Linked DNA regions of Neodiprion lecontei. The protein of the gene in region 1 purifies or fractionates together with the protein of each later gene. This does not show direct contact. Links are inferred from orthologs where the notes say so. Each region holds a gene or a part of one and is shown in the gene's direction. Other genes may lie near its edges. The genes, in order: T-complex protein 1 subunit beta, viral IAP-associated factor homolog, DDB1- and CUL4-associated factor 7 and serine/threonine-protein phosphatase 6 catalytic subunit.

What was found.
Region 2: the proteins of T-complex protein 1 subunit beta (region 1) and viral IAP-associated factor homolog purify together in Homo sapiens (co-immunoprecipitation; 3 studies listed by BioGRID and IntAct, with this or other methods). This does not show direct contact. The link is inferred for Neodiprion lecontei from reciprocal best matches to the Homo sapiens genes CCT2 and PDCL3.
Region 3: the proteins of T-complex protein 1 subunit beta (region 1) and DDB1- and CUL4-associated factor 7 purify together in Homo sapiens (affinity purification with mass spectrometry; 4 studies listed by BioGRID and IntAct, counting the BioPlex papers as one, with this or other methods). This does not show direct contact. The link is inferred for Neodiprion lecontei from reciprocal best matches to the Homo sapiens genes CCT2 and DCAF7.
Region 4: the proteins of T-complex protein 1 subunit beta (region 1) and serine/threonine-protein phosphatase 6 catalytic subunit purify together in Homo sapiens (affinity purification with mass spectrometry; 4 studies listed by BioGRID and IntAct, with this or other methods). This does not show direct contact. The link is inferred for Neodiprion lecontei from reciprocal best matches to the Homo sapiens genes CCT2 and PPP6C.

Annotation. Positions count from the first base shown.
Region 1 is NC_060265.1:2,248,373-2,254,195, forward strand, and holds T-complex protein 1 subunit beta, read left to right. Parts: upstream 1-1,983; 5' UTR 1,984-2,136; coding exon 2,137-2,139; intron 2,140-2,546; coding exon 2,547-2,856; intron 2,857-2,971; coding exon 2,972-3,405; intron 3,406-3,604; coding exon 3,605-3,682; intron 3,683-3,837; coding exon 3,838-4,062; intron 4,063-4,160; coding exon 4,161-4,338; intron 4,339-4,518; coding exon 4,519-4,722; intron 4,723-4,802; coding exon 4,803-4,975; 3' UTR 4,976-5,274; downstream 5,275-5,823. UniProt on the Homo sapiens protein: Component of the chaperonin-containing T-complex (TRiC), a molecular chaperone complex that assists the folding of actin, tubulin and other proteins upon ATP hydrolysis.
Region 2 is NC_060260.1:19,522,163-19,527,119, reverse strand, and holds the start of viral IAP-associated factor homolog, read left to right. Parts: upstream 1-1,929; 5' UTR 1,930-2,106; coding exon 2,107-2,109; intron 2,110-2,602; coding exon 2,603-2,744; intron 2,745-4,957. UniProt on the Homo sapiens protein: Acts as a chaperone for the angiogenic VEGF receptor KDR/VEGFR2, increasing its abundance by inhibiting its ubiquitination and degradation.
Region 3 is NC_060263.1:25,735,439-25,740,079, forward strand, and holds the start of DDB1- and CUL4-associated factor 7, read left to right. Parts: upstream 1-1,600; 5' UTR 1,601-2,205; coding exon 2,206-2,458; intron 2,459-3,300; coding exon 3,301-3,853; intron 3,854-4,641. Other genes in the region: bystin, read right to left, coding at 162-305. UniProt on the Homo sapiens protein: Involved in craniofacial development. Acts upstream of the EDN1 pathway and is required for formation of the upper jaw equivalent, the palatoquadrate. The activity required for EDN1 pathway function differs between the first and second arches.
Region 4 is NC_060262.1:30,903,473-30,909,040, forward strand, and holds serine/threonine-protein phosphatase 6 catalytic subunit, read left to right. Parts: upstream 1-1,552; 5' UTR 1,553-1,625; coding exon 1,626-1,694; intron 1,695-1,841; coding exon of another isoform or gene 1,842-1,853; coding exon 1,854-1,949; exon of another isoform or gene 1,950-1,952; intron 1,953-2,039; coding exon 2,040-2,247; intron 2,248-2,573; coding exon 2,574-2,653; intron 2,654-2,760; coding exon 2,761-2,866; intron 2,867-3,209; coding exon 3,210-3,371; intron 3,372-3,709; coding exon 3,710-3,900; 3' UTR 3,901-5,056; downstream 5,057-5,568. Other genes in the region: dynamin, read right to left, coding at 732-895.

The DNA of each region.
Region 1 (5,823 bases):
AGACCGGGGAAAACGAAGGGGGACTCGGGCCTACGACGATGAGCCCCCGGCGCCAGGTGCCACTCTCGGTGTGCCTCGCTGTGCCTCGGGGAGGGACGACCCCCGCCCCTTGCATTTAAAGAGTCACCCGCCAATGCCGACGTCTCGATACATCTGCGCCCGCACACTTCAACTTTAAAGCTGCACGCGTGCCATGATCGTGTACTAAATGCGGGCTACGTGGTGAAGCCTATTAAACGCTGCGACAACTAACGATAAAATTAACGAATTCTCGATCAAAGGATCAGGTAATCAGTCGACTTTCAATTACGCTACGTTTTCATTTTGGGACCGTTTCAGCCTGTCCAGTTATTCCTGTGACTTTTTTTCACTTATGCATACTTTGGATTCTCTTTGTTCAGGTTTCTGCCGAGTAGATTTGGACGTTTCTACTTTTCCCGGCCTACCCTTGCCTTGACTCGCACCCTTACTCGGTTTCGCTGGCTCTTGTTACTCTGACTTAAAAACGGGTTTTGTAACTTCGGGTGCTTGGAACAGAGTTGCGGAACCGTTTGAAGAAAATATTTTTCAATTACCTTCCAGCGCAAAACCTGTATTACATACAGTCCAAATGGGAAGTATACAGTTTCTGATCATTCAAAATTCTGCAGATATTAAAAATTATTGAAATTTCAAGCGGCATGTGCCAGACCATCCAAATGCAATCCAACTCGAAAACTGAATAATCTTTCAAACATTCAATCTGTGGTCGTTTGTGTCAATGAAATCTCAGAAACACATTTGAAAATAGGGAAAAATAAATTCAAATAAAAAAATGAATTCATCTATAGGAACGTGATTTAAACCGAAAGTCTGTACTCGACAAACATACACATACGCATATCCTCGACCCGCCTATCGTCTAACTGAAGCTATTGTCGACGCTACCGGAGTTAGGGCGAGCAAGGTGACGAGGGGAGAGAAGTAGACAGCTGCGAGGGACCGTTACGCTGTGAACGCGCAACCTGCGCACCCCGCAGACAACACCAATTTGGGGTGCGAAATACATACATTAGAAGAAGGGGGATGCAGGGACGCGAACGTCCCGAAGCCAACGATAAGGGGAGATAAAATGGAAGTTTGAGTGAAAAAATCCGGACCAATCCAAGCAGGAATTTATTTGCAGTTAATTTAACAAGTGCGTAAGACGGGGTTTTACGGTATGAAGGTAACGTACGTGGTGCAAGCATTCTGTATATACAAAAAACTTGACACTGGTACGGCATTTATACGTATAAACATGCTCAATGCGTTTATAATCATATCAATAGCTATGTTATACTGATGAGTCAGCTGAAACGCGCCGCTCTGGAATTCTAAAACAGTTTTGTGTGGTAACCAAGCCAGCTTCGTATATCCTTTGCATTCTTCTTGCGCATTCCTGCAATATGACTTCGAATGAGTCAAGCACGCGGGCATTAGCCATGAATAGTTCTCGTCGACCTCACCAATACCAGATGTTACTACTGACAGCTACTGAACTCTAACAGAGTCCAGCATTGAATTTCTACGCCTGCAATTACTATTAAAATATCGTCGCATGTATGACCAGTTGCTAACAATTAGGTTCACGAACAAGGTAAATTGCTTGCAACAAGGTCTTCGACATTCGCCTACGATCAGGCGTAACGTCATAAGTTGCCTATGATCAGGAGTAAAATGGAAAACATTGGACGTCCGTAAAGAAAGAAATTCAGGATTTTTTACGTAGGGAAAAAAACCAAAATTGCGGAAGAAACATGTTTTTGAGTCTGTTAAATTGTTCCATTCGCAATTGAAGGCATTATTTTACTCAATTCAGATGTGGGACGACGTCCTACGATGCAGAATGACCATAATTGGTCTTGAAATTGGAAAGATGGAATCAAGTCAATATGAGTGGTGGTATCTAGCGGTCGGAAGAATCACTTGGGGCTCACAGATCTCGCGATTGGTCGCGAGAGCTGCGCGAAGGCAAGGCTTCTAGTTGTTTCTGCACGGTGCGATTCGTCGGCCCTTCGTTGTTCCAAGATCAGCATCATTCAACATCACGGCGCCCGACATCGAAGCGGTGATTTCTGAATTTGGTGTTTAGTACGCGATAACGAACAATTAACGATGGTCAGTACTGCATTTAGCTAACTAATAAACTAGCCTAAGTCTCGTTCGAATCTCGTTCCTCGTTACCCCCGGATATAAAATCCTCAAAATCCAAACCCAACGATGGGCGAAGTCGATCCTCCCACGACTGACTGTCCGGTGTCCGCATCAAAATGATGGCGAATCGCGTGACACGAAATGCACGTGTCTCGAGCATCACAGGATTGATACAGGAATTCGGAGACGTTGTCTTCGACGATATGATCGCGTGGTATTGAGCTGCACCGCGGACTTCATTAGGCACACCCTGAATCTCCGTGTCTCGCCTTTGCTTGTCTACTACGGCAACCTAACCTCTCCTGCACATTATGAATCCGGCGGATGATATTCTTTTTAACAAAAATATGAGTGAGCAAACATTTTTTTAGGTGTCACTTAATCCTGTCAGGATATTAAAGAATGAGGCGGAAGAGGAGAAGGCAGAAATAGCACGGCTGAGTTCTTTTGTTGGAGCCATCGCTATTGGCGAACTGGTCAAATCCACTCTAGGCCCTAAAGGCATGGACAAGATTCTTGTCGCTCATGGACGATCAGCTGGTCAAGTTCAGGTTACCAATGACGGGGCCACTATCCTCAAGAGTGTCGGTGTTGATAACCCTGCAGCAAAAATACTTGTGGACATGAGCCGAGTGCAGGATGACGAAGTTGGCGACGGCACAACTTCTGTAACAGTATTGGGTTTGTTATTCATTTATTTGTCTATTGAGTTCAATCAATTGTTTTGAAGACAGCATTAATAGTTTGCAATCCATCACAAATTAAATTGTTTTTTTGTTTTTCTGAAACCTAACAGCGGCTGAATTGCTAAAGGAAGCAGAAAAGTTGATAGATCAGAAGATTCATCCGCAGACAATAATTGCTGGCTGGCGTAGCGCTACTACGGTTGCCAGGGAGGCACTACATAACACGGCGACAGATAATTCAGCGGATCCTGAGACTTTCCGCAAAGATCTTATGAACATTGCACGAACAACGCTTAGTTCAAAGATTCTGTCTCAGCATAAAGAACACTTTAGCAAGCTGGCTGTTGATGCTGTACTGCGTCTCAAAGGCTCAGGCAACTTATCTGCTATACAAATAATAAAAAAACGGGGTGCCACTCTGGCTGATTCATTCCTTGATGAAGGTTTCCTTCTCGATAAAAAACCTGGAGTTCATCAGCCCCAGCGTATCACCGATGCTCGTATTCTGATTGCCAATACCCCCATGGATACTGATAAAATCAAGGTATAAATTAAAATAAAACAATTTTAATTGACTGGGCATTCTTCGAAACTTCTGTTCCAGTTCTATATAAATTGAATATCTTGAATGTAGTAGCTATGCTTGTCACAGCATTTTTTATTGAAATAACACGATACACTGTACTGATACGTGTGATTTCGTGTTTATTTGCATTTTTATTAATTTATTAATTATCTTTCAGGTCTTCGGTTCAAGGGTACGTGTCGATTCGATGGCAAAGATTGCAGAGCTAGAGACTGCAGAAAAGGAGAAGATGAAGGTATTGAAATAACGTCAACATTCGCATTTTCACGTATAAGTTTACTTAATTATTCGCAAAAATATGAGGCTTACGTGTAATGGCCAGAACTAGACGATTCCGTACCAACTAATCAACTTTATATCCTCTGAAATGATGAATTGCTTCCCAACCAGGATAAAGTTGACAAAATAGTGAAGCATGGCTGCAATGTCTTCATAAACAGGCAGTTGATCTACAACTATCCAGAACAGTTATTCGCTGACGCTGGTTTGATGGCCATTGAGCATGCAGATTTTGATGGTATCGAAAGACTCGCCCTTGTAACTGGAGGAGATATAGTCAGTACCTTCGATCATCCCGAACTGGTCAAACTTGGCAAATGTGATTTAATAGAGCAGGTGTGTCTCTAGATCTTGGATACTATAAGTATGCCTTGCAACCTATTTAATTCAGAAAATTGTATCAACAATTCTGATCATCGTTTGAATCACTACAGGTTATGATTGGAGAAGACTCTCTTCTTCGTTTTTCGGGTGTAGCTCTCGGTGAAGCTTGCACCGTTGTCATCAGAGGCGCTACTCAACAAATCCTAGATGAAGCTGAGCGTTCATTACACGACGCTCTCTGCGTACTGGCAGCTACAGTACGCGAGTCGCGTATCGTATTTGGAGGAGGTAAAAAATTTCTCATGTTTTACCAAAACGCCGGTGCAAAAATAATTTGGTTGCTGCGTTGAATACTCGGATTTTATTCAAAATGTTACGCAAACAAATGGGAGTGCGCGCTCCACAATTTAGTAAGAGCACACAACAGTTTTTTCCTTGTAATCCTAAGCCTTATAAAAATCCTAACAGGTTGCAGCGAAATGGCTATGGCTTGTGCAGTGATGAAAGCTGCCACTGCTACCCCTGGAAAAGAGGCTGTTGCCATGGAAGCGTACGCTAGAGCTCTTCAGCAGTTACCTATAGTAATTGCAGACAACGCGGGTTACGACTCAGCTCAGCTAATCAGCGAGCTCAGAGCCGCGCATAATTCGGGAGCCTCAACAATGGGACTTGGTTAGTATTGAATTTCAAGGCCGAATCCTCAGAATCGATATTCACAGGATAACTATAATGTTTCGTATTTCCTACTACAGATATGGAGGAGGGTAAAATCGGCTGCATGAAAAAACTCGGAATCACAGAGTCGTGGGCTGTGAAGCGACAAGTCGTCCTGAGTGCGTCTGAAGCCGCCGAAATGATACTCCGAGTTGACAACATTCTTAAGGCAGCACCGCGAAAACGCGTCCAGGACCGTGGTCACTGTTAAACGGGGCGCGCTTTCCGTTTCAATTCTTTGTAATTTCATTAATTGTCCATTAAATTGAACTGCGCTTCTCCGCATCATAGGTGACGACTAAAACGCGTAACACGCTTATTTAACCGAACACAACTACACGCATTTGTAAACCGGCGACGTGAATCGTCGCCGATTATTATCATTATAATTTTACTTATTAACGAAACACTTCTATGTTCGATATATCGAACATAACAATAAATTCGTTTTCATGTATGTATATGTATAGCGAAATATGTATACGTACATGTATATCGTTTTGTACCTAATATTTTCTTATTCAACAAATCCATATTCATACAAACCTAGAAAATTACAATTGGGAAAGTTGATTCGAAACCCGAAACTCGCAATGAAACATTTGCTACTCAAGTGGGCACAATTACCTAAAAGGGTGAAAAATTGTACCAAATTTCATGTGTGACATGATTAAAATTAATTTACGGTTTTACCATTATACTGATCCGTAGGTTTCGAAAAATGATTACATAATCATTATTCACATATGAACAGTAGTGCTCAAAATACGTTGGATTAGAGTTGATCAGACTGCAGAATAATAAAAATTGAGCGGTCTCTTGGAAAACGAAGAATCCCGGGCTCACAGAGTCGAAGTTCGACAAGTCGTTTGCTGATATAATCGCCGAGTCGATGGACTGTTGGCGCGCTGCGATCGGAGATGAGGAAACTGTCGAGCAACAGTAAAGAGACGGTGGATAACATTGGCAGCGAAGGTGCCAAAGATAGAATCACGGTAGAATATAAATCATCGCTGGCGTTCGCGTACGCACGATACACGAGCGTGTTTCAAAGTTCGA
Region 2 (4,957 bases), on another chromosome or scaffold:
TGTCGAGTGCTATATAATAATTGGATATAATCGTGTTAGTTAATTATGGTGTTAATATGATAGTGATATATAGTAACGTATAATAATATTATAGCTCTTTGTAGTGCGAAGATCTCGTAACATGGTTTTTAAGCTTTGGTTAGTGAATGTCATAGTTATTTCCATCTAGGGATATTCCAAATAGTTAGACAATTGTTTTAATTCCTTATGGTTACAAGATTCTCGTACTTCGAGTTTGGTTAGTTGATAAAAGTAACATGCAGTAATAATAGTCGATAAAACATACGGACGTTCCGGTCGGATGTTACAGACAGTTCGCAAACTGTCGCAAATACTGGTAGCGCACACGGAACGGAATGTCCGGAACGCCTCTGATCGGGGCTTGAAAAGTCACTGAATTCCGGGTTCGTGGAGACGGAATAAATTCCGGACTATGGGACGGCGGCTTAACGCAACACAGTGGGTGCTTTCCATTTACCGACTCTAGTCGACTTGTGTCGCTATTTCTGGTGTATTCCTTTGCCCAGATTGGCCGGTTACATCAGAAATAGCGACACAAGTCGATCTGAGTCAGTAAATGGAAGGCACCCAGTATGAATCATCAAACTCATACGCATTCCGAAGGCCACACCACGACAACCCTATAGACCTGCTTTAGCTAGTTACTCGAGTCGACGGAAGCTTAGAACATATACTGTATATGCTCTAAGGACGAAAGAAGCGTAGTGTACCACAAAAAACTAGAGTAAGGGATTAGAAGAACATAGCTACCGGTCCCTATAAATAAGGGCACCACGCGTCAAAACGCTCTTTCGGATCGTGCCCCTAGACTTGACATCCTGTTTTCGAGTCAAGTCTCTTGGCGCAATCCTTATGCTTTCTTACATTTCAAATTCCTTTATCACCAGTATAAAATATTCACTTTCTAAAACGCTCTGTCGGCTTATACCACAGATCCCACCTGTAGTGTAGATTCCTGCTCTACCTAGTCTTGCGGTACCCAGTCATTTGCACACTACGCTACCCGTTCAAAAGCTGTCTCAGAAATTCAGAACCAATATTCTTTTTCTCGCAATTAAATATTCCATTTTTTAGAACTTAGTTCTGGCCGATCAAATAACGCTTTTGCCCGTCTTGACTCTGAAATAATTATTATTCAACCTTTAGTGCCCTGTAAACGGTCTATTGAGAAAATAAACACCTTTAAATATATTTCAAGTAATTTCAAATAAAATTAGTTGCAATTAAACTCCTATTTCACATTTATTGATCACTTGTTAGGAATAAGAGGCAAAGAGTATCATCTCCGTTTTCTATTTTTAGCCGTCATTATGGAAATTTATGGTTTACTTATCAAGTTATGGAATACTTGTATCGCTTGCGTTTGAATTAATTCAGGCAGTGACCTAACCGAATAAACCACCAAGCTTGATTAAACCCTAAGCAGGGCTATAACTTGAATAATATAAAAAAATATAAACAAATTATCTATATCAATATCGTTCATTTTAAGGAAAAAAATATATAAATTTCATGTGTATGTACGAATAATAAATCTACGAAGGTAATAAATGAAATAAACGTATGTTGTTTAAAGAAACGGTGTTGTTTTTATTGGTTAACCAATTTCGATAATTTTTTCACACCACGATACCACACATGGTTTAACCATTTTTTTTTTTAAAACGCAACAGCGTTTCACGCGTATGTAAGACCGTGAGTATGACGCACGCGCTAATTTTAGGTTATATGCTTCATTACAAATATAATTTCGGTGGCACATTTTCATCCCTACCCCACGTACATCCCTAGATAGCAGCGCTGCGACACGGCTATTTCAAACACTAAAAACTACGGACAACAAGAGAACCACCCACGCCGCTCTGTAGAAAATTGGCTTCGTTGCCAGATCTGTATGTAAGACCGTGCATGCTACGCAAGGTATCCGTGTCATCTATACATATGTATATGCGAGCTTGCGAGCAGTGCGAAGCAGTGCCACCGCGTGGAGTACTGAAGTTTGTTTTTGACGTACTCTTAAAAGAATTCTATAGACAATTGTATTTTCATATTATTAATTATTAATATTCTTACTTTCAATACAAAATGGTAAGTATACAAATTCAAGAATCATAACCCTAGCGATATTTCCATAAGCAAGGGTATTTTTATCCTATCAGTGAGTGTTACCTTATTTGGTGTCATTCTCAAAACAAGAATTGTAAATACTATTCAGAGGTATATACGTGATATCATAGATATTTCACACATGGCCATTTCGCATCACTGCATTTAAACTACTCAAACGTGACAACATCGCATTCATACCAGGCAGTTTTTGGACCTAACGATTGTACGTTCGTCACATAGCAAATGTACATGTTGTGTGTTTGACATGTATGTTTTAAATTCTTTCTAAAAACACTGCCCCATTACATACCTGAAATTAACATGAGATCCTATTACCAAACATAAAAGGTTGATATGTACATGGTATTATTTCTGCTATTCACCTTCTATCTGTACGATTTTAAATGCGTCCTTCGCTTGAAGAATTTTGATTTGGAATGAGATGTATAGTTGCAATTAATTAACATTTCAGCAAGACCCAAACGAAGATACCGAGTGGAATGATGCCTTGAGAAAGCAAGGAATTATTCCTGCAAAAGAAAAGGAGAAAGAAATCACAGAGGATCAAATTGTCGATCTCTTGGAAAGTACAATCGATAAAAAACTTGGCCGAGGTATGTATTATCAGCTACATTTTATACGTCAGTATAAATCACCAGAATGAGTATGTAATAGCGACGTACGTATACCTGTATAGAGGTTATAACTCATGCAGGTTAAGATAGGTAAATTTACATTTAGTAGTTACCAAGTGCACATTCATGGCATTTTAATAGTGATCTTGAGAAACTATCAAAACCAAACTTTTGGACCCTCAGTACTTCCAATTTCCTAGATATGGAGAAAATTCAAAATATTTGTTTCACAATACCTTCTTGACAATTGTCTATTGTCTATAACGATCTCTCTGGGGTGTAGATTGCATGCTTGTAGCACCTACTTAATTCATGCATATACTTTGTTCACAATGTGGCAAGGAGGAAGCATATTACGCCTTACCATCGAAAGCTTGGCTCGCTAGTTCTGTTCAGGATCGCGAGCTTTATCTTTTGGGTACTCTGCTTTTCATAATTTTTCAATCTGGGAGACCAGGTTTCCTGAGAACTTTTTTTTAGGGACCTGCAGTTCGTGACCTGACCAGGTTCTGCTTGAGCAGTTTTATTACTCTGCGGTTTGCAAGTGAATCGTATCGGCGATCTTTTCCGGTTGAAGGGTTGCGTTTATGGGAGTTCCTTTCCACTGAGTTGAGGGAATCCAGTTCCTTGGAAGGCTACACAGGGTCTTTTTAATTACCTGCTAGCCGCTGGGGATGCGTGACAGGGTGCAGTCTAACCCGAATGCTTCATTCTATTTTAACTACTTATTACATTGATTTGAATTTTAAGTTGTGTGGTTATATTTATTTTTATTTTTAATTTTATTTTACATAACCTGACCTTCATCTCTGTACTTTTACTTTGCTTCTCTGTAATCTTATTCTTTATCGCTTTACTTGGGTTTATTCTTTCTCTGTTTCGCTTACTTTGACTGTTTTGGTTTTGTTTTGGCTAGTTTAAGTTCTTAAATTGTATTTTAATTTCTAGAGTAGCATTTTTGGCTTTCTCCTATTTCAGATTTTTTGTTTTTGTAATCGTTTAATTCTGTTAAGACAGATGAATCTAACAATAAATTGTCCAACATTGTCATGGACATTGATAAATATTAATACTAATCCAAACAAAAAAAAAAAAAATAATGGAGCCTGTCAATGACGACTAAAATTTCAAAAATCTTTTACCATTTTTAAGAATTAGTTTTTATTTTGTTTTCTCAAAATTTTCAAAGTGCTCATGCTCAATGGCATTGAGAGGTGACTCTTTGAATTACACATGAGGTATAGGATTTGATGAGATCTATCAACCTGATCTTGGTGGTAGTAAAAAACAGTGATGCGTCATACTTAAAATTAAAAAAAAAATAACGTTTTTTGGCACTTTTTCTGATATCCTGGGTTTTTCTGAAAGAACAGTGTTCCTTGCACCTCTAATTCATAATCATAAAATCGAAACAGCATATGAGTATATATCTTTCAGTTAATATAGATGAATCGTGTTCGAAAATCGGAAAATACTCGTTGTTTCATAAGTTTTTGGAGCTAGTTAGAATTGTCAAATCTGAACTCCAATTTCTCAATCAGAGTCTCTCAAGATATTGAATTTACATGTCTTCAAACTGACATATTCCAAATCCCGTAAAACTTCCGCATTGAGGTACTCAAGTAAGTGCTAATATTTTTTTTGTACTTTTAATGAGTAAAAATCATAGTCAATTGGTAAAACTTTATTTTTTTGTAATTTGTTTAATAATTGCATATAGGTGGGGGTTAAAATATAGAACGTTTACAAAGTAAATGTATCGTAATACTGAATTATCAAGGATGCGAAAATCTCATATGATTTTCAGAATGCAGAAAGTCAAAATATAGAAAATTTGAATCGGAAAGGTCAAAGTATAGAAAGTATAAGTGATATAGAATCAGCATAATAAATAGAAATGTTGTACAATTCTGACAATTCTATGTTTTGGTTTTATGTATTTCATTTTTCTACGTTTGCACTTTTTTATATCTTGAGTTTCTATACGTTCAGGATCTTATAGAGTAGGCGTTTGCGTATTTGGAACTTTTCAGATCTTAATTTACCCCTACCCATTGCGAATGTGTTATTCATTCATATATGCATACAGAGGTGGACTATTCGAAAAACACAATTCTAAGGCACTACAATAATTATTCAGTTTGCAATTCTTATTCCATTGAATTCCATGCAAAAAACCATTCAAGATGAAA
Region 3 (4,641 bases), on another chromosome or scaffold:
GATGTAAATTCTAAAGTCCGGAAATGTTTTGTAAAATTGCGTCATTAAATTAACGTGACGAACTTCGACCTCATGAAAAACTGGGATAATTTTTGTTCGACTCAATTTCAGAGACTGATATTATGAAAAAACCACTTTTATTTGTGATGAATTACACATACTTCTTCATCTTCATCTTGTCGATGCCTAATTTTTGTCCTGTTCTTCGGCTTAACCACTTTTTCGCTGTTTATCAGTTCTGCTAAGCCAATTTTAACATCCTGACGATCTCGCTTCGAAACCTTTATTTTCTTCGCTTTACCCATTTCACAATGATTATTTTAATTTATTGTCAATGATGAATCGAGAAGTAATGACAGCACGTGGAATAGTGGCTAGAATCACATACATAACCAACACTGAAGCATATGTTCTTAGGGGCGAGGAGTCACCTTAGAGCATGTACTACTGGAGATAGCTTCGCGTGTACAGAAAGTGTAGCGGAGGAGTGACAGAGAGAGGTATATGTCGGCTATCATCTCTGTAACCACCCTCTTAGTATATATGCTCTAACAAGGGAACGCTACACTAATGACATTTTTCATATTTTTCATACTTATGATACTGAGCAGTGAGGACTTGAATAACAATTCCCCAAAGACGTTCGATTTCAAAGTCTATAGTTTTTGAGAAAATCAATTTCGAAATACTACGAGCGTGTTATATACACTAAACGGTCACCATCCGACAACGCAGTCCGTGGCGCACCGGGTAGCGCGCTAGAGCGATATCCGATGTGGCTAACTATATATTTTACTTTTATTAATTTTTCCTTTTCTTTTATACGTTTGCCCACATCATTTACGTGTGGACTTGATTAAATTTATGCTGATTAACAGATACTTCGTAATTTACAATGATAAACGTGGATCTTGCTTTCGCATACCTGTCGCTTGAAAAGTCGGGCTTACAATTGAAAATGGTAATTCTTAACTAATAATATTTGTGATAGATTTAATTTTTGCACAAAACCTGCCAGCCTTCCCAGTTATTGACCCTGGCCCAATTATTTACCTTTTTTGGTTGCATATGCTTAATCCTCAGTTATAAAATTATTAAAAATAAATTTGTAGTGTCTAACCTTCTAGGAATTGGTTTTAGTCATCGAGAAATTTGCAATGTGTGCCTTCAATTTATAATTTAGAAGAATAAATGGATGAATCATTGGGTCTAGACGTGTCGATAATTGGTACACTTACCTTAGTCAATAAATCATCTTAGTAAAGCTAGTTTTCATATATGCCATAGATCTTACCCTAGTAGTAAACGAAATCACCTTCAGCTGGTATGTTAGCGATTGATATGGCGATCTAATATAAACGACCTTTTCAAAATTATATGACATGGTGAGCGTAGAAATTCTGTCGCCATGCATATGTGCAGTATAGTGAACGTTATTTAGACGCTGCGCGCCATTATTTTTGTACTGTGGGGTAGTCTCCGCACCACGCGTGCCAGACGGGAGAGAGTGGGGGAAGTAAGCGAGCAGCGCGCATGCGCAGAACCAGAAGCGCAAAGCGAGCGAGTAGCGTGCCTGAGTGGGACGGGACGGTAGTCCGGTTTCAGCGCTCACGGATAGAGGTTTGCTCCGAGTTTAAGTAGCGCTTCCTTGCTTTATTCGCATACTTACAATAAAGTGAAAATTTCGACAGCAAATACTGTAGAAGCATTTTGCTGCCCATGAAAATTCGACCCGTGTTGGTGGGTCGTAAAAAAACTACTAGGAATATCGAAGGGGTCAGTGTCTAAGTATTTGTACTTCTGGAGCTGAACAGTCGGAACGTTATTTGTGACTTAGTGAACTGCTACAGTCGATGATCTATACGATTGTGTTTACTTTATGATTGCCATTGTGTTTACAAAAAATTCCGAACAAATGTGCATAAGGACGAGTTTTAAATGAACGAACATTCACATTTTATCGTCACATAGTTTAGTGATTTCGAAGATTTCAATCTTGTATTACTCTTGTGTATAAAATGTCAACAATGATTGAAAGTTGAGTAACATAGTCGCAAATTTAAATCCTCTCCGGTCCATAGAATGGTAGCATTCTAAGATCCGAATTTCGGTCTTGGCTATTCTGTGAGAAGAAAAACAATAAGCAGAAATTGCTTTAATGCTGTAAATACTTGAACTGAATAGTTCAACAATTGTTGGTAAAAAATGGCTCTACATAGTGTTCCACCAAAGCGAAAAGAAATTTACAAATATGAAGCACCGTGGCCACTTTACAGTATGAACTGGTCGGTGCGCCCCGACAAAAGATTTCGTCTAGCATTAGGCAGCTTCGTTGAAGAATATAACAACAAAGTACAGATTGTTTCGCTCGATGAGGAAACTTCCGAGTTTACTGCCAAAAGTACCTTCGATCATCCCTATCCAACGACCAAAATAATGTGGATACCTGACGCCAAGTGTACGTAGCTCACTTATACCAACTGTATCCTCAAAAAGTAAAACAACGAGCTCACTTTATTGTATAATACTGTTGAAAGTAAATAACTCAGTTTAAAGCTGAACAAACTGGTCATCTTTTGTTTTTCATTGATGTAATCTTCTAGAATTTTTTCAAGAATTATTGATTACATGTGATCATTATGTTGAAAACAGCATGTCATTATCACAGTCAGACTTCGATACAAAACTTGTTTTATTTGAATTCGCTTTTTTTTTTGGTTTGAATTATCGCCAACAGTTTATTAACCTCTTATGTCAATGCTCAGAGGCATGAAGTTCTTTTGGTATTTTCTGCTTGGTCGAAACCATGTTTTTGAATGAGATAGTTTTTTGTATGCAAGTTTGAGTCAATCTGTAGTGTGCTATCTTCGGCGAAATTAATAAATATCGTTAATAGTACCATAACTAATCTTAAATACTTATATCAATAAACAATTGCAAGCATGAGTGCAGCTTTGTACATCTAAGACTTTCACAGTTAGATCTAGTCTACAATTTGTATTAAACTCACATTTATATGTTCCATTGTTTATGAATTTGTATGTTACGGGAACCATTTACATCACTGCTATAAACTTTAACCTCAAAGCTCAGCCTTATGTTAAATAGACAATAAATTGTGGCATCGATTACTGTAACTAACCACACCTGTTAAATTTGCTGCCTCATCAAGAATCGTTTCTTTGCAATGAATCTTGAATGATTTCATGCACAATAAGTTGATAAAACCTGTGGCCGATTTCAATCGTATAAATCAATAACTTCATAGGTATATTCAATATAACACACATTTTGTTGCAGCTCTGTTTCCTGATTTGCTGGCCACATCTGGAGATTACCTGCGGGTTTGGCGTGCAATAGACGCAGAAACACGACTGGAGTGTGTACTGAATAATAACAAAAATTCGGATTTTTGTGCACCCCTCACATCATTCGACTGGAATGAAGTGGATCCAAATTTAGTTGGAACATCAAGTATTGATACAACTTGCACAATATGGGGCTTAGAAACTGGGCAGGTAGTTGGGAGAATTAGTGTGGTCGCTGGTCACGTTAAAACACAATTGATTGCTCATGACAAGGAGGTCTATGATATTGCATTCAGTCGAGCAGGCGGAGGAAGAGATATGTTTGCATCGGTAGGAGCTGACGGGTCTGTGAGAATGTTTGATTTGCGCCACTTGGAACATTCTACAATTATATATGAAGATCCTCAGCATACGCCACTGTTGCGCCTTGCCTGGAACAAACAAGATCCAAATTATTTAGCCACCGTTGCCATGGATGCGTGCGAAGTAATTATTTTGGATGTTCGAGTTCCTTGCACACCAGTCGCTAGGCTAAATAACCACAGGTACATATGACACAATAGTTCTTACTTGCCTTCATCACACTATCGAATTTTCAATGATGTCATTTTTCAAATGTAGCTTCAAATTGTTTTAAAAGTTTTCTCGTTTTGGGAAATTATTTCTTGGAAGAAACATTGTTACAAGGAAAATAAGCCGCAATGCTCCACTATCAATATTACATATAGCGTGAATTTTATAGCACAGTCCCATCAAAGAAGTTGTAGGTACTCTTGCTCACATTCAATCTAAGACCATTTAAGATAAGTTAGTCAAGTTTAAGAAAATTATATTTACAAATACAGTAATTTTCCTAGAAATGCAAAAAGAAATAGAGCCTGAAATTACGAACAGAAACTTCAACACCGTTTTTTTTTTATTTCAAGATACTTCAAACGGTGACAATTTCAATAGATTCGTTCAATTTGTAACGTTCACGCTGACTTGTTTTGTTTGGAAAACTGTTTCATACATTTTCTTGAAAATATATTTTTTTTCATCCAATAGTTGAATCAATCTGCTATTTATTGGTCAAAATGGACAACAGAGCAATCTTAAAAAATTACATATTGAACGATACCAACTTGATAAATCAAATAGTCATGTTGAATATATTATGTTGTTATATTAATGTCAACAGTTCACTCGTGATCATTTTTCCTATTTTTATTGGGTATATTATCCGAATGACAATAAATTTGATCAAAAAGTATTTCCTGATCACCAAGTTTTCGAAAGTACAACATTATTGAAAGTATCAATATTAGAATCACGTATAGAATAAACAATTTCA
Region 4 (5,568 bases), on another chromosome or scaffold:
AATTTCAAGAAATCTTATGGCATGGATAATATATCGTGGAAAATCGTAAAAATTGTAACCAAATTTGGGCACTGAGATAAAATTCGGAAAAGAGACCCAAGAAAATTTTTTTCTTTTTGTAGATTTATTTTTCTGCACATGTCAGCACTGTTGAGTCTAATTTTTTTCCAATCAATATACAATTTGAAAGTGGTCTTGAGGTTGGATCTTTCTTCATCGGTGTCGCATGTCGTTTATTTGTTCAATTGTTTGCCATTTTTACATCTAGCTCTTTTTCTTTTGTTACCGTACAAAAGTCGCGTGTTTCTCAAGCCAACTTTCATTTGGAATAACGGGTGAAAGATAGCGTGAAAACAGGCTGACTCATATTATCAATTGTTAGATCATCGGGACGATTGAGACTTTAGAATAGAGAATTAGAGTCTGGACTAAATATTCGCGAAGGAACTTGATACAGGGTGTCACTCGAGGCGAGTGGGCGACCGGGGAATTTCGTTATTGACCCTGGCGACCCGTACGTTTGAAATTTCCCAACTGTCAAACGCGTTGACGTATCGTTAATTCCCAGCATCGACGGTATTATTATATTGACGGGACGTTTAAGGTCGGCTTGGTAATTTGCCACGCCTTGCGTTGTATCGGAGCAAATAGGTTAAGAATAACGATAAAAAAAATTAGCATGGATTCGTCGATAATTTCGGGGCGTTGATGGATGGAAGGATCGAACTTACCTGCCGACAAAATTTTCCAGAACGGAACTCTTGCCAGCACTTTGTCCGCCCACAACAGCGATCTGTGGCAGGTCGAGTTGCATGTGCACTCCGAGCTGAGTGAACGCATCTTGAAGCTTATTTACAATTGGTATCAACTGTTCCATTCCCGTATTGCCTGACATTTTGGTTAATTTTAAGTTATCGTCGGCACTTCCTCGAGCAACAAGAGCTATTCAACGACACTGGAAAACAGAATAAAAGCGTATCAGCACGGAGCCGCGACCACCACCTCCGTCCGACAGGGTAGCAGTAGAGCGGTCAGAACTGTCTCTCACACTGCTCGTCTCTCTCTCGATAGAGCAAAATGGCTGGGCCCACGATATTCCTTGAGCCGATTCGAACTCCGAACCCGAGTGTTTTCACCGCATTTTTAATACCCGGAGCCCGATTCTGCGAGCGAGAAACGCGCGTTTCAGCAAAGTTCCGTAAGAAAACGGACAGAACAGCAACACTGCGAGTGCCCTACGCCGCGATCACGCAAATGAGATCCAGCATCAAGATTCTGGACGTTAACGTTATAATCGATAATCGAAGCTTGCGCAGTGCCGCCGAGTTTCTGACCCAGTTTTAGAAACGGAAAGAAAATCTATACAGATAACGACGTAGTGAATAGCGTTTCGTTGACAGGGGTATTTACCAGCGTTAAAAGACACGTTTTATACAGTTTTTCAATCAAACAGTTATCCACAAAATTACCCGGAGTCGGTGAAATTTTTAATTAATAAATATGATATTTTTTAAGCAGCGCGCTCTTTCTTCCGGAATATATAGCGATAAGCCAGTCACAAGTACCCTGTTCCACAGATAGGTGACAGGGCAGACCCGCTATTTCCGCGACATTACGAATCCAAAATGTCAGACATCGATAAATGGATTGATATTGCAAAAGAGTGCAAATACCTACCAGAAAATGACCTCAAGGTAATGAGCGCATTTCATTGACGATAAATAAATATTTACTGCTCGTATAATCTCTCGCCGTACTTTCGAAATACCAATTTTCATGAAAATATTTTAGGTTACATTTCCCGAAGTATTATCTTTGAATAATTTAACTTGTACTTTTACCTGTTTATACAGAAATTGTGTGACATGGTTTGCGATTTGCTCCTCGAAGAATCCAATATCCAGCCAGTATCGACTCCAGTAACCGTATGCGGTGATATTCACGGACAGGTGAGCTACTGCGACCCAATATAACCTCAAAACTTTAGGGCAGTACTTGTTGATGCATATCCCATAATATTTGTGCGTCTTTCATGTCAGTTCTACGACCTGGAGGAGTTGTTTCGGAGCGGAGGCCCAGTACCTGATACAAATTACATATTTATGGGAGATTTTGTCGATAGAGGATATTACAGCTTAGAAACATTTACCCGTCTGCTAACACTAAAGGCCAAATGGTCAGACAGGATAACGCTATTACGAGGAAATCATGAATCGCGCCAAATCACACAAGTTTATGGATTTTACGGTAACCATGTGCTCTTCTATTTACCATTGTAGGATCCAGTAATCTCAGAGCTTTGGCTATACGTTAGGATGGATCTGAAGCCCAAAATATAATTAGCAAGTTTTCACGCTGCGAGCATGCGGTTGATTTTCGTTTTAGTATCTGTTTGATTTGCTTTTCTTTCAAGCCTTACGCTTCTTTCGCTACTGGAAGGAAATCACATAATGTTTACATGCAAAATTTAGTTTGACGAGCATGGGAGTTAAATGTCAGCTTTATAAGTTATTCAGGTTGCCTGCCCCCAAACTTTTTTGGAATTTGACTCCAGAATTCTCTTTCCTTCACAGATGAGTGTCACAATAAGTATGGAAATGCAAATGCGTGGAAGTACTGCTGCAGAGTATTCGATCTTCTTACAGTAGCTGCTGTGAGTATATTTATACATTAATGCACCATGATTTTCAGTACAAAAGTAGTAAAAACTGAAAATACTAGATACGTAATAATTTATTTCAACGAAATTTTTTCTTCTAGTTAATTGACGAACAAGTGCTCTGTGTTCATGGTGGTTTGTCACCAGCTATTAGGACTCTAGATCAAATTAGGACAATTGAAAGAAATCAAGAAATCCCACATAAAGGTATGAACAACTATAAATCAAGTCTATCGTATAACAATTTGAGTAAATATTATATCCATCAAAAATATTATGTAATGATTAGGAACGCTATCCTGAAAACTTCCAGTAAGCATTAAGTTACTCAGCTTTGCACTTTTGAAACTGGTGGGTGAAGTTCGTTGCCGAAATCTTGTCAAAGCTCATGGAATGCCAACATTTAAATAAATTTATAAACACAAAAGTGTACTGCTTTCCTCTATATAAGAAAAGTTTTGGTTCGATTGCCTGCCAAATTTGACTGTCAGTTTCAACTTCGTATGTGGCCAACTCGATTGATATTTTCTCATTCTTTATTTACTTGCAGGTGCTTTCTGTGATCTAGTGTGGTCCGACCCAGAAGATGTCGATACCTGGACAGTAAGCCCACGAGGAGCCGGATGGCTATTCGGAAGTAAAGTTACTCATGAATTTATGGGTATAAATGATCTTCAACTCATATGTAGAGCACATCAGTTAGTTCACGAAGGTAAGCCCTTGCGGTAATAATAGTTAGGTTATTATTTTGTTTATCCAATATATTATTTTTCTTTGCTTCTTCAACTAATCGTAAGCATATTGTTACTGTCGAAAGAAACTAGTCAATAATTTCGTATCAAGACATTTGAAATTTATTTACCAAATGCAATATCTCATTGCCAATGAAGTCGCCAGAATTCACTAAAGTTGAAAACTATAGATTTCAACTTGGTATAGCAAACACAAATGCACGTACGGCAATAACTTGATGCTAAAGGATCGAAATATTCTTTAAATCGTTAAGTATTATTCATATTTTGTAAATAAATATAACATTTACCTTTGTAGGGTATAGATACATGTTCAATGATAAGTTGGTGACAGTTTGGTCGGCGCCAAACTATTGTTATCGATGTGGCAACATAGCCAGTATTCTACAGTTCACAACGGTGGACCAGAGAAATGCGGTGTTATTCCAGGCAGTGCCAGATGCCGAAAGAGTGATTCCCCCACTTACGACAACACCTTACTTTTTGTGATCTAACTCGGCGCTCCATCTGTCTCGATGCAGAGGAGCGGCGTCGGGATCTAGGCCTCACGGAGATACATGACTGCTCCTTTGTCAATGAATTGGGCTGGTATTTTGACAGCATGAACGAATGTTCTTGTAGTATATCATAATTTGGGAGGTTTTTTTATACATCAGTTTATCATGAAATTCGTAGTTTTTGTTTTCTTTTTTTTCCGTATCAAGATATATTTCCGGCACAATGATTGTGCCCTTCTTTATTGTTCAAGTAAAATTATATGTAAAGGAATTTATGACCTTGTTTTTTAAAAAAATTTTATACGCTAGAAAGTTGTCTGTGGTAAACTATACTGAGAAATATAATGATATAAAAAGGTTCTGCCATTGCATCAGCCTGATCTGTTTACTTAAAAGAGCTTCTGTAAAAATTCAACAACGACATTCTATGGTCTAGATGCTTTTGCTGCCTACTGTGTACATTCTGTAGAGCATTCGCACCTCAGAGCAGCAAGTTGGACATGTTTGGTCGCCTGAGAGCTTTTAAGTAACTTATAAATACACGAAATGTCATTGGTCCAGTGATGTAAAGGGAAATAACATAGAAAATATTATTATTCAAACATTCCGACAAGAAGTGGGCTCTGGGAACAGTGAATGCTTCTTCGACATTACAGTTTACTGTGTCTAGAATTCAGGTTTCAAGAATGCATAAGCCAATGTCGTATCGTTAGGGTCTTCCCGAAGATATTAATAACTTGATTCTGTTCTAACGAGCTTCGTACCGACTATTATTGCTAATGCTAATATTGTATCTTTATCTTGAATAATTGTACAATAAAAATAAAACAGTATGATCACGGATGGTCCGGTAAAAGTTTAGCACATACCATTTTACTTGATGATAAAAAAAGCATTGCAACATTTTTGTACGAAACATGGCAATATTTTATCGATAACCAATTCCTTGCATTTCGTAAATTATATGATGGCTTATTGATATCAATACATAAATGTTTTATAAATGTTTAAATTCCGTGGATCGCAATAACTGATACTCATAAAAAAAAAAAAGACACATTACTTTAGGAACGATGGTAACCATAAACTGTACGAAGTTGAACGTAGTATACAGCTAGTTCAGTCCTTTCCGTGACCATCTTGATACAGTTGAAGCAGAGATACCACTTTGCCAAATAAAAAGAAACGAATAACAAGTATGAGTGTACAGTTTCCATATCATGTATTCATATGCCAAATTATTGTTGTATTAAATAATTGATAGGTAGATTATCATAAGTTTATTAACGTAGGGAGCAATTTTTTAAACTGAGACCCTTAGCAATGTGCCTCTAAATTAATAAGCGTTTGTGTAATATAATAATGCATAATGAAAATACATGGATAGTATTAACTCACCAGCTGCTGCTGTTGCTGTTGCTGTATGTAACAAACCTGAATTCTGGCACTCTTTGTCACTAATTTATGATACTCCTACTGAACTCACAAACGAAAGAATTATAGTATAAAATGGCACTAGCTGCCAAATCAAACCAATATACAATTTCAAATTTTATCAAATCGACGGAGTAGATCTGCTCCGAGCAGATCATATAGAATTTATATCGTGCACGTAATGCGTGTTCTTTGTTACAAAATCATGTCAGTTCTCAAATGCCAC